2 linked regions of the Caenorhabditis elegans genome follow. The protein of the gene in region 2 interacts with the protein of the main gene of each other region in a pairwise test. Each region holds a gene or a part of one and is shown on either strand. Other genes may lie near its edges.

The links.
Region 1: the proteins of pkc-2 (region 2) and erp-44.1 interact in a two-hybrid assay, tested with the Caenorhabditis elegans proteins (one large-scale study listed by BioGRID).

The regions. Positions count from the first base shown.
Region 1 is NC_003279.8:5,416,592-5,422,259, forward strand, and holds erp-44.1 (Thioredoxin domain-containing protein), read right to left. Parts: upstream 4,102-5,668; coding exon 4,050-4,101; intron 3,511-4,049; coding exon 3,415-3,510; intron 3,364-3,414; coding exon 3,214-3,363; intron 3,169-3,213; coding exon 3,084-3,168; intron 2,714-3,083; coding exon 2,611-2,713; intron 2,520-2,610; coding exon 2,272-2,519; intron 1,839-2,271; coding exon 1,663-1,838; intron 1,618-1,662; coding exon 1,479-1,617; intron 1,433-1,478; coding exon 1,348-1,432; intron 616-1,347; coding exon 514-615; downstream 1-513. Other genes in the region: utp-14 (Small-subunit processome), read right to left, coding at 4,917-4,967.
Region 2 is NC_003284.9:9,374,531-9,382,310, reverse strand, and holds the start of pkc-2 (Protein kinase C-like 2), read right to left. Parts: upstream 6,041-7,780; coding exon 5,955-6,040; intron 5,776-5,954; coding exon 5,609-5,775; intron 3,747-5,608; exon of another isoform or gene 3,616-3,746; intron 2,260-3,615; coding exon 2,190-2,259; intron 1,972-2,189; coding exon 1,871-1,971; intron 1,730-1,870; coding exon 1,647-1,729; intron 1,575-1,646; coding exon 1,334-1,574; intron 1,180-1,333; coding exon 1,020-1,179; intron 974-1,019; coding exon 733-973; intron 688-732; coding exon 367-687; intron 88-366; coding exon 1-87. UniProt on the Caenorhabditis elegans protein: PKC is activated by diacylglycerol which in turn phosphorylates a range of cellular proteins. PKC also serves as the receptor for phorbol esters, a class of tumor promoters.

The DNA of each region.
Region 1 (5,668 bases), on a different chromosome or scaffold from region 2:
GTAGATGAATCGGATTGAATCCATTTAACCGCCAAAACAAAAAGGTTATTGAAGAAATAGAAAGAATAAATATATTCATTCGTTTCTGTTAACATTGTTGATTGTTTTTGAATTTAAGATTCAAAAAATTTTTGAAATAAAATTGAATCTAAAAACAAAAAAAAGACAGGGATAGAGACATGGGAAAACGAAGAATAAAACCGCGCATCACAGACAGGAATTGACTAAAACTTTCAGAGAGATGAATAGGAAAGAAATGGATTTTGATTGGCAAAAGAACAACAATCCGATGGAATAACATAGTAATGTATAGTTTTTTGTGGAAATCGGGGATTAAATAGTTGTGTGTGGGGGGACCTCGTAGAAACCAAGAAATAAAACCAAAACCAATGGAAAATTGACCGAATAAAACTGAAAATTAAAAAAAAAGAACACCAGAGAAATGCAAAACAAGGCCATGTTGCAATTGTGATATAAAGCTCTGTTATAAACAAAAATGAAAAATCAAAGAAATTAAAGTTCCGTTTTGTCAAGAATTGTGTATCTCGAAGAAGCAGGCTTCAACTTCTCGAATGTAGACGGTGGTGGCTCAGTGTCCGGTGCTTGATTTCCAGTCTGAAATGTCTTACGAAAATTGTAAATATGGTCTTTGGAAATAAGTACTGCAATTTTTTCAATAAAAATACGGTACCGAATCTCGAAAAGGCAAATTTTTGAAAAATACAAAAGGTGCGCGCCTTTAAAGAGTACTGTAATTTCAAGATTTATTTTTTCTTGAATTTTTTATTGACTTTTCGATCAGAAAAGGAAATTTATTTTAAAAAAAAATCAGATATAACAATAATTTTTTAATAATTTTTTTCAAATCGAGAAAAAAAAAGAAAAATCAATAAAAAACCGCAGCAACTAATTTTAAATTACAGTAATCTTTAAAGGCGCATACCTTTTCACATTTGACAAAAATTTGTCGTTTCGAGACCCGTTTACCGTATTTTTGACGGAAAAAGCACAACATTTCGCGTCTGGGAAAAATATTTAGAAAAAATCATCCCAACCATAATTTTTTTTAAATCTTCTAATAATTCGGAGTTTTTTTTTCAATTTTCAGTTAAAGCTTCATTTATTTTGTTTTTTTTTCATAGAAAATTCCCAATTTGAGGGATTTTCCGTCCTGAAAATCTCATGAAATTTGTAATTTTACATTTTTCAAGGATTTTTAGAGACTTTTTTAAAGGTGGTATAGAAAAAAGTCTGGTTCAGATAATAAAAAAAAATTCGTTTACTAACTTTTCAATAAATTTCATAAAAATTTCAAAAACCAAAAAACTCCCAAAAAGTGACACTTACCACTGGATCTGGACCATGGTGGAATTCGCGATGAAGCTTTCCGCTGTGCAGATCGAGCACGAATTCGCGGAGTTTTCCGGGGACGCTGAAATAATTTTGTTTGTTTATATAATCCATTTTCCAGATCTTACTTGACATCTTCGAAATTCTTGAATAAATACATATGTCGGAAAGAATCAATTGCAATGACTGGAAGATCGGATTCCGATTTACCCAAGTGACTGAGTGGATGCTTGAAGATTGTTCCATCACCGACCAAGCAGTTAATTGCTGAAATTATTCATTTTAAAATCTAAAAAAACTCGAATAAAATACCTTTTCTCTGATCAGGAAGTTCTCGAACAATTGCATCAGTGAAGATCTTCTCACTGACTTTATCATCAGATTTCTTGAAAAGAATCATAAATGGAAGTCCTTCTTCAGTCAATTCTTCTGCATTTTGGAATGTGATTTCACGAACTAATGGCACACATTTGTCAGCAACCCATTGTCTGAAAATTTAATTTTACAATAATTATTTTTTTTACAGTCTCCTCGGCTCGAAATTGGTTCCTTGCCCCTTTTTAAATTTTATCGAGTTTTTTTTTGTCGAAAATTGGTTAACCTTTGTTTTTTCTTAACAAAAAAAAAGTTTTAATATTTTGAAACATGAGATATTTTTTAAAGATATTTTTTTGTATTTTTAAAAAAGATTTGTGAAGAAATTAAATTATTTTTAACCCAAAAAACCGAACAGAAAATGTTTTTTTTTGGTGATAGCTCTTTTTTAGAACGCGTGGGAATTTAAGAAATCACCGAAAAAGCTTAAATTTGGGTTTTTTCTTCAGCTTTTCATTTTTTCAGGTTCAATGTGAGAATATTTTTCAAGTAAGACAAACTACCATTGCGATGAGAAAAACTAAATTTTTCATAACTTTTACTAACTTGAGATATTCATAAGTGGCAAAATCTCCAGAGAATGGAATCTGTGCTGGATTCACAGCCTTATTAGATGGCTGGAAAACGAGTTTCGGTGGTTGACCAGCAGCCGGTGCCTCTCCAGGGAAGTTCAAATCTCCGATTCCAACCATAAATTCACATTCATCACGATAAAACATTGCCACGTTCATGAGATTCTTGTACTCGACACTGTTTTCATCATGGAAATATCCAATAAATGTGTTCTTTTCTGGCTGAAAAATATACTTTTTTAGTTTTGAAACCTTCTTTTTGCCACAATAGAAAATTTATTTTGGTTTTTCAAATATTTTCAGTGAAACTCACATTATGCGCAGCTTGAAGTGCATTTTTCTCAATAAACTTCTTCACTGTAACTTCCATTTGTTTATTGATGAATTCGCTAAGAGCCTCCACGGATCGGGAACTTCTGAAATTCAAAATTTAAAATAATTTTTTTGAAAAAAATAAGTGTATCGTCAATAAAAAAAGTTGTGTAAAATTGCAGCCTATAGTGCTAAAATGTCCTAATATCATAGTAAAACAAATTTTTGAAATATCTTAATTTTTAGTTTCACATATTATAATTTTGGAATTTGACCAAAAAAAATTTTCTCAGAGTGTAGAGGTGTAGAGGAGGAGAAGGAGGAGGTGTAGAGGTTAGAACTCTGCACATTTATTAAAAGTTCGACAGTTTGCCAAATCTTTATAAGAAAATTTTTGAACAAAATTATAAATTTTTATATATTTTTATTAACTTTAAATTTAAAAAAAAAACAAATTAAAATTAAGCAACTAACCTGTACTCTCTTTTCGCGGCTTCTCCATTTCTGAACAACTTCAGAGTTGGATATTTATTAACATGATATTTTGTGGCAATGTCGTCTGAATTTCATAAAAATAAATGAATTATTCCAATTTATTACTCACTGTTCTTATCAGCATCCACTGAAGCCCACATAATCTTGCCCGGAGCCGCATCTTTGAACTTTTCCGAAGCTTCCAAGAAAATGGGTTTCAACATCTGCGAGAAGCGGCACCAATCTGCGTAGAAATTCACGAAAACGAGTTCATTTGCTTCTGAAACATGATAATTAGCATATTTTCCATAGATAGTTGAAGACAGCTCACGAATAGTTTGCTCGAAGTTTTGTGATGTCAATGAAACAACTTCAGCATTCAGTAGAGCCGGACAGAATAGAAGTAGGGATAACCACCGCAGCATTTCTGAAATTTTTGTTATTCGATTTGAGAATTTATAGGGAATTTAAAAATGTTTAAGGCAAATGTTAAGAACATTTAAATGATTTTCCAGCTGTAAAAAGTATGCTTATCAACCGATCTATAGGAAAACAAAAAGTTCAAGAGTTTCTTGATTGGTCTGTTTCAAAACGAATGTTTTTGATTGGTTGTAAACGCATATTCATCATCAGTTAGTTTAGTGCGGAAAATGGCGTTTTGCAGGGTTTAGAAAGGGTAAGACGTTGTAAAACATTTCTCAAAACATAAAAATCAATGTCTGAATGCAGCATATTCAAATTTAAAAGAACGGCAAAAGACACGTGTACTTTTTGGCCAGCATTGGTCACACAAACCGCCCGGGGTATTAAAAATAGTGGAAAAAGTGTTGAATTATAAGAGACACAGACGCTGAATCAGAAGAGGCGCAGGGTGAGTGAGTGAGCACACGGAAAAGAGCAAACGAAAAGTGGAGAAAAAGCTGACTGGCGATGAGAATTGGGCGTGGATGGGGCAGCTTTACAAACGATTTTTCATGAGAATACTGTGTGCTTGTATCTCTCTGAGAGCATGTGCCATTCCGTGCTGATCACCGAGATTCACTTCTTCTTTCAAAACCGAAAAATATAAATTTTTGTTCGAATTTAAAAAAATCAAAACCTTTTTTTTTTGGTTAAAACTGAACATCGAAAAAAAAAACGTTTTGGGGTTTATTTTCTCAAAAATAGTGAAGGTGCAGGTTCTTGTGAGAAATTTGTCAGAAAAACTTGTTGTTGCAGTGTTTTCAGATTTTTTTAAACCAAATTTTTCGTTTATTAAAAAATTGAAGTATGGAAAATTTTTTTTTCAAAATCTTTAGTGGTTTTTAACCGACAAAAAATGTTTTTAAAAATAAAAAAAAACAATTCTAGAAAATATCTGGAAAAATGAAGAATAGTTCAATATTTAATGTTGATTTTAATGAGACATGATTAAATAGAGAAATACCCTAAAAAATTAAATTTTAAATACTTTCGAAAGCGAAAAGCAGACATTTTTTTGAGATTTTTATTTCAAAATTTCAAAACTTTGGGTTTCGTTGCCAACTTTTTCAAAATATTATTTTAACAACAAAAATTATATTTTCAAATTTCAAATAAATTGCTGGGGATATCCACCATAACGAAAAAACTGATTATAATTGAATTATTTTTTAAAAAATTTGTTTTTCATTTAAAGAATTACAGGAAATGTAAAATTGAGAAAATAATGAGAAAATGGTCTCAATTAAACTTTCACCGTAAAGAAAACATATAAAATTAACAACAACGAACATTTCAGGTGACACTTCAAAGAGAGAAAACCAACAATAAAGTTTTTTTAAAAAATCAACAAAAAATTAACAATTCTTCCAATTATTCTCCGAGTAGATGCTTCTTGTTGATTGGACGAATAGCTCTTCCAGCCTGAAAATATAAATATTATAAATAGAGAAATTTTATTCAAAATTTGTGTCTAGTAACTCATGAGGGGAAAAATGTGAAAATAGTTGGAGAAAAGAAGTAAGAGAAGGAGAAGAAGAGCATTTCACAGCTGAGTGAGGAAAAGCTGTCCCTAGAAGCAACACACACATCATCGATTTTCTTTCGAGCTTCAACAATGTTTTGAAACATTTCAAGTTCTTATCAATGTAATAGGAACGTGTGAAAACCCAGCAGAATGTACGGCGCCGAACGATGATTTTGAATTACTTTCAGTCAACAACTCGATTAGTTTTAGTGACTCGTCATGGTGTAAACATATATTTGATGTTTTTATTTCTTTCTAAATAGATTCTAACAATTTTCAATTGCAAGTTTTGTTGGTTGATTTCAAATAATTCCAATATTTATGATTACTGTAATGGTTTTTTGGAAGAGGAGACAAGATTTGCTGTAACACAGGGATTACTGTAACTAAAACGTCTAGAAAATTGCTCCTCTTCAATGATAATCTTTAGAAGTTTTCTTGCTATTTTTAAAAGTTATTCAAATTTCCTCGCTAGCTCACTGATCTTCTTCAATTAATACAGGTGTGAGCCAATCCAAATATGTATTCTCTTGTCAATCATTTTTCGTCATTCTTTCTCCGATCTATATGAACACCCACCAACCTCTACACAAAAAGA
Region 2 (7,780 bases):
AACTGGTTCTTTGAATTTCCCAACTTGCTGGATTTGATACATCAGATCACCACCATTTACAAATTCCATCACGAAATACAAACGGTCCTGAAACAGAGATTCATCAAAATACGGATTTGATTGGGGGTTTGAAGAGTTTTCATTCAAAAATAAGTGCCTTCAGGACTTATGTATATTATATTCCATCTATCCAACAATTATTATTTTCAATGTCATACTTACTGTTACAGAATAATTTGCAATAACCTAGGGAAAAACACGTGGATGAATGTCAACAATGTATTACAAATTCGAACATCTATTAACATCTAAATACTTCCACATGTTTGATCCCTTTTTTTCAATAAATCTGTTATGCGCACTGACCATGGTCTGGAAGCACGAATGCAGAGCAACAAGGAATGATGGTTTTTCCGGAAGAGCAAGGACGCGCTTCTCAGTCATTGTGCATTCCACGTCATCGTCTTGAATAATCACATCTTTCTTGAGCACTTTGATCGCAAACAGCTCTTTTGTTGTTTTTTGTTCGCCAAGCAACACTTTTCCAAACGATCCTTTTCCAAGAACAGTGAGGAAATTAAAGTCAGAAGCCTTGATCACGTTGTGATTGGAACTGCCGAGAGGAAGTGTACTAGCTCTTGGGGCAGCCGGGTCTTTTGGCTTAGAAGAACTGTTGTCTCGTGTGATCTAAAACGATAAAAGACACCTAATTGCATTAGAACTTATACTTACAAAGTTTTCATTCATCTTCTTGCGCACTTTTTCCATATCTTCGTCGTATTCAGGTGTGATGTTGATATTGTAGAATTCTCCTTCTTCCGCACTGAGCAGTTTGTACCAACCGGACGCTGCTTCCTTCATAAGTTCTGAAATACCAAACGACAAGCTTCCCATGAAGTCATTTCGAGATGTACGATCCCAGTCCCAAACTTCAATAGAAAGCCGCCGATCCTTATCTCCTGGTAGCAGTTTACTGAAACCCAAGTTTTATTTTTAAATAAAGTGTTACAATGACTTACTAAGTAAAAGTTTCATTCCATTGAGGGTTAAGAGTAGCTCTCAATGTTTTAGTTTTCTGTTTTGACTTGCATCCCGAATCCTCCGGAATCAGTTTGCACTTCACATAAGGGTCAGACAATCCATTGGGGTCCATTGGAATCAAGTTTTTCGCCTCCAGAACTGTAAAACAAATGTTGTGTATCAAGATAATTATACACTCTAGCAGTTTTGATGAAAATATTTATTTTCCTGAGAATCATTGAACAACGTAAGTTCAATTCTTTCAATCTTTTTGTCTATTTCCATTTAATTTCCTGCGTTGCACCCCACTCACTTTTAATGGTTAACTGATCATTCTCGATGTGTGCTTCAATTCGTAGTCTACCTCTCTTCTCTGTATTGTCGGTACCACACATGTTCGGCACATTCTTGACGCATCGGTGATGCACATTTGTGTCACAAGATTGGCACTTCATGCCTTGGTGCAGAATACCGTAGAGCAAAGAGCCACAATGATCGCAAAACGTCGGCGATGAGTATGTTTGAACTTTCCATTTATGCTGCTGGCGAGGATCCTGAAATTAAAAGTTTGAGGAATGGATGTCATAAAAAAAGAAGAGAAAAAGAAGATAGAGTGCACAACTTACATCGGTATCTACTCCTTTATCTGCTCCTGGACATGCGAAATTGACAAACTCGTGACACCTCTTGTGTACCACAAGGGTACATACTGAAAACAGAGTTCTCTTTATCTATCAAACTTGTTTTATAGTCGCATTTTATGATTTATAAACATTTGTTTCGAATTGCATTGGATACAAATTAAGAAGAAAATAATTATTAATATCAAATAAAATTTCCAATAAATTACCTTGGCACTGAAATCCCTGTTTTGTTATACCCCACAAGAAATCTTTGCAATGTGAGCAGAACGTTGGCTGTTTGAAAAACCTTGCAATGAATTTGTGCGATCTGATAAGAATTAAACTTTGAATCAAAATTGTGCAACAAGAACAAGATATTGATTTTTGTTTTCATTTGAAAGACCTATGATATTCAAAGATAATGAAAGAATTTTTTTTTTCAATTTTTCAGTCAAAATAAATGTCAGCTATCAAATAACCAAGATAGGAAAACGGACAGTGCTGACTTTTACGAGGGTTTTGTTTCAAAGTTTGGTATCAACTCACTTGATTTCATGCACATTTTTCTGGCGAAGTGCACCACGACGAACAAATGCTTTTCCTTCGATCCGTTGAGCTGAAACGAAGACAAACATGAAAAAGGGAATCAAATAGGTGAGTTTTGCTCTCCGAGCCCCGCGCAATTATATCTTCCCCACCATTTTATTTCTTAGTGTAACCTCCCCTCCCTCCTTTTGTATTCGTTTTCTATAGTTGCAAACTTTGAAATGAAATGGGGTTTGGCTTCCGTGTCGTGAGGTCATTTTAAGGATTAACTTTATTTTTGCATGTTTTAAAGAACAAAATGATTACTCTTGAAAACATAAAAAACAAGAAACCTACAAATTCGACGTCGCAAGTTTTTTACAATCGTAAATGCGCGTTTCATGGGAATGGTGGGAAGCGAAATAGGGGAAAATGGGAGGGTATGAACAATTTTTATCAGGAAACACTGGGTTGTGTCACTTTTTTATTTTCGCCCTTTTTCAATAGTCATAGGACATGCGGGCAGAAGATGCTTTTGTCTTGGAGGTCCTCAGAAACTTTTTGCCATTTATTGTTTTCTTAAGAACGGAAGAATTTTAATGGAATTTCACTACTATGTTTGTTTTGTTTACAAGATTGCTGTTAATGCAATTTATATTAAAAAATTTTAGAAATCAATAAAAAATCATAATGAGAAAAGCTACATTTATTTGTTGGGCTAACTTTGCATGGATAATTTGCAATATTAATTTTTATATTGGCTTTTTATACTGTCAGATTTCAAAAACATAAACTAACAAATGTTTTATAGTACTTAATAAAAATAAACATTTTCTGATGAAAAACAAATCCCTCTTCACATTGTTTTGACCTTTTTTCAACTAGGACCTGTATCTTCAGAAACTTTTTTTAAAAAATATTGCTCACTGATTTCAAACAAAATTTCCGTCTAACAATACCAAGCCAGTTTCAAAAGTGTTTCATTGGTAATCAATTTCAAAAAAGGAAGCAAATTGGGAGGTTTTGTAGAATAGCTCACCTTGTTCGTGAAGCCTTTTCAGCAATGGCCGGATAGATAGACGATGAGAAAATTCAAATCTAGGAAAATGTATGATACCGGGTGCCTCGTGATGGGCGTAAACCTTTAGACTAGAAGGGTTTGATATAGACTTTCGAATACAAAGTTGTTGATTCCCACCTCCACCAGTGGAATTGTTTTTCACAGGGCTGATTAGAGCAGCCGCCGCTAAAGACTGTGCTTGTGGAACTTCCATGAAGTGGTACAAGATTAAAATTAATAAAATGTTTCAAATGAGCTTCTGACGTTTGGTGGCGGGGCTTGAAAAGGGTAGCAGATGATAGCTAAATGAGTTAGAGGCGGTGAGCAAACGTGAAAAAAAACGGAGGTTTTCTCTCGTTTCTCCCGTTTTTTCGGTTAAGGTCCCGAAATGAGAAGAAGCAGCGACGACTACCCTAGCAAATGAAAAGCCGAGGCTGATGGCGTCGTTCTGCACATGAAAAATAGAACAATTTGGGTTGGGACCACAGGCCCCCGCCGCCGTTTCACTCCTCATCAATGGATGCCGCATCCACCCCACCCCCATTCCAATTTCCATTTCTCCTGTGTTTTTTCTTGGTGCGTGATTGACTCCGCCCACCTATTTCCTGTAATTCTTGATCCCTAATCTGATTTTTATTCAATCTGGTTGCAATTTTGCAAAAAGACTGAGTGGCCTGATTTTGAACCCATCTTTAAAAAATTCCATACTATCAAAATCAAAAATACCCGTTTGTAAAATTATGTGAACTTAAAAGATCAGTCTCGTAAAAAAGACGCGAAGAAAAACAAATTATGTCGGTGAAAAGGCGATTGTGCGATGTTTGTTGCCGATTAAACTATGAATTATTTGGATAATTAACTTCTGAAATTTTAAAATGGGCATATGACAGAATGCGGAGGTGTTCATAAATGCACTAGATACTAGAGATTAATATAAGGTAGAATACATTAATTTATAAATTTTCAAGTTTTCCGTGTAGCTGTTCGGCGAATTTAATGTTCTTTTAACGATACCTTAATTCATACCCGCTATCAGCCAGCTTAAAAACTTCAAAAGAGGAGTACCCTAACCCCGTATTTTTAATAGTTCAACATTGCTAAATATCATAACAAAACATTCCGAAAAATTATGGTTGAAATTGCATATTAAAAAAGTTTAATCAAACGTTTATCATACTATGTTTATCATCACTTTTTTGTTTTGGCGTTTTTACAACATCCATTCTTATCTTTAACAATTCCTCAAATTAATACATAGCATTGTTCCAAATTAAGTCTACCACTATGTTGAAAAACATTAACTTTAGTCATAAGATAAATTTGTTCATGAAAATTTAAGGAAAACATATGATGTTCAAATTCTAAAGAATTTTTTCTCGAAACTTAAAATACAATCAATGTCAATTGGAAGATCAATGACAAAAGGAAACTGGTTTTTGTTTTTTTGCAATGCCAATGCGTTGGTATGTATTGTGATGTCCCAATTCTAATTTCTAATTTTATATTTAGTCGTTTTTTCCCTGAGATGTTTAATTCTATTTTGGCTCACTTGCGATTGAAAAGAGCAAACAAAAAAGTTTAAAATGAAGCAGTCACATGGAAGCTTTTTTTCAGACAACCGCCTTTTTTTCTGAATGCGTTTTCTGACGTCAATTTTAGGCAAATGGCAACAGATTTCTCAGTTAATCGACTATGGACATTTTAATTGAATGATTCATCAATGGGCATTTTTGACAGATAGGGAGTGAAGATGATAGAAAGGAACCTAGTTTTCAAAAAACTGCCACAGCTGCCCAGTTGTGCTTTTAATTAGATAGTTTTTCAAAGTGCGAGAGAAATTGCGGAAACAACTACAAAGTTATCAGAATCACGTACTAACACAGATATGCTAACCATTACTAACTACAGTGAAAAATATAATATTTTGTAGATCATATTCAAATAATGAGTCCGTTGAAAAGGGCTTTACTTTCAGACTTTGCTTCTTCTCAAACCTGAATAAAAATAATCTTGGTAAACAGAAACCTTCCAAATATTTTTAACACTACTTTTTCATATTTGATAATATAGGATGTCACCCTGCGTCTACCGGTAAAATTGTTAAACACAAGAAATATGAACTGCAAACGGTAAAAAATCATAATATGTAGAATATCAGTGATGAAGGTTTTGAACATGTTTTTAGAGTTAATTGATTTAATTCATAATTTTTAAAAAATTACTTCCCCTAACTACATTCTTCACGCCAAAATGGGCCCTATCCCATGTGTGTACTAAACACCACTCGCCTGAGAACCACATGAAACGTCAGAATACAAATTAGAGGGATACAAAGGACTTGTGTTTTTTTCTATGCTACTGAATAGTTTTGACGACTTACCGAAAGCTTCAGATAGTTTACGAAGTGCAAGATTCGACTCGAGCATAGGATCGGACGACAGATCGAGGCTCGGCCGAGCATCAGCGCTATTTCTGGGACCACCACCAATATCGGTCTCGGATCGTCGACGCTCTGCACTATCCATCGTCTCGCGCTTTTTTGCCTTCCTTCACCAGAATAAATCTTTTACAATGGTTTAATGAAAATCGCAGATGGGAGGAGGTATGATGAAGGGATGAATGGAATAACACAAACTAATGCAGGGAGGTAAGAATTGGCAAGAATTTTGAACGTCAACACAATAATTAATTTAACCAGAAACAGAAAACGTGAAAGAAATATTTACCTTAAAATATGAGATGTTAACGAAAACTTGTGAGACTTTAAGAACACCGAAGTGGATGATGACTTTTGCTTTGGTCGTAGGCTCATTTTAAAAGTTTATGAGTAAGAATATCAGTAGTTCAAATATTTAGTAAATGGAACTCTAGAAGAGAATAATATCAGATGGCCGGAGGTAAAACCACTACACGTCTTCCTTTTTCTCTCCTGGTTAGCTGTTGGAGGAGCTTCCCGGATTTGTGGCGAGTATCATATTGCCCAATTAAAAAGCGGTGCACAAGTATCAAATCCAGACATAGTCTCCGCCTCCGATATCCTCTAAGCCAAGAAGCTTATAAACATACGCACATACACACGTACGTCCGTGAGAAGAACGAAGCGACAGCAGCGATAAAGCTGAGCCGTTTTTCCTTCTTTTGAGCTTCTTTTTTATAAGCTAAATTTTTGGGTCAAGTTTACATACTTCACACCTTTCAAGTCAATCGAAGAAGCACATAGAAGGAGAAACAGAAGAAGCCTTGCCTCTAGTTTTTTTCCTGAATTGAGAACGAGGATAGGAAAAAAAACGGGACACGGATCAGGTTTCCAATAGCTTCTCGCTCATTATTTTCTTGTGTGTTTGAGCACAAGGGCAAAACTTTTCAGCTGTTGCTCTCAGGCATTTGGTTTCCTCATCCAATTTTTTTGATTCCAAGAATGTAAGATGATGACAAAAACTGTTTGTTTCTGACAAAACTATTTACAATCTTGAAAATTATGCAAATATATCAAGGTTGTAAATTTTCAAATATTTTTTTGCCGGTAGATTTAATTCGCAAAAAGAAACAAAAGCTAATATGAGCTTTCAGGAAAATAATGCTTTTCACGCTATTAATTGGACATTTTCAACTAAGTTCTTTTTTTTCGAATACTTATTTGAAACTGAATAAAAACAGCAGGTTTATGAATTTATATATTTTTATATTTAGTGTCACAAGTACTATAATTTTATTTATATTTAGTATCACAAGTACTATTAGGTCTCCAAATAAGTTCCGGGTCAAAAATCATAACTTTGTTCGCTGCGTATCGATTTTTATGAAACTTTGGGATGTATGTTACCAACCATGATCTTTCATTTGACAATAGTCACAAAAATTTTTTACCACCCCAAGTGTCCTAACTCGGAGGCAATTTTTTCAGGCATTTTTCTGATCTCGCTTCTTTTCAGCTTTGAATTGAGGTTTGTGTGCGGATTTTGCTTTGTTTAGAATACATTTTTAGAAAACAACAAAAGTTTAGAAAAAATCCGTCCAAAAAAAAAATTTTTTAATTTGATCGTCAAAAAATCTTCAAAAAACTTTTTGTCGAAAATTCTATATTTTTCCTACAAGAAAGATGTAACCAAGTGTAAATTACTTTTACACATACAAAACATTTGGGTTTAGTTTGTCACACTAAAATGATAACATAAAATATAATAAAATTTTTTGCATGTGTAAAAATAGTTTATAATTGGTTACATCATTTTTGTAGGAAAAATCTAGATTTTTCGAAGATTTTTTGACGACCAACCAAAAAAATTTTTTTGGACGGATTTTTTAAAAATGATTTTTGACCCGGAACTTATTTGGAGACCTAATATAATTTTAGAAACATATTTTTACAAAAAAATTAAAAAAAAATAATATGAGGAATAAGACGATAGATTGATTCACTATTAAACTTTTATAAGCTGGCTGGCTGATCAAGTCTTGCGTAGAAATTATTACTCTCAAGTATGATTATTATGGCAATAATAATTTTAACTCAAGAAGAAATATTTTAATTTCACAAAATACGTAACTTTTT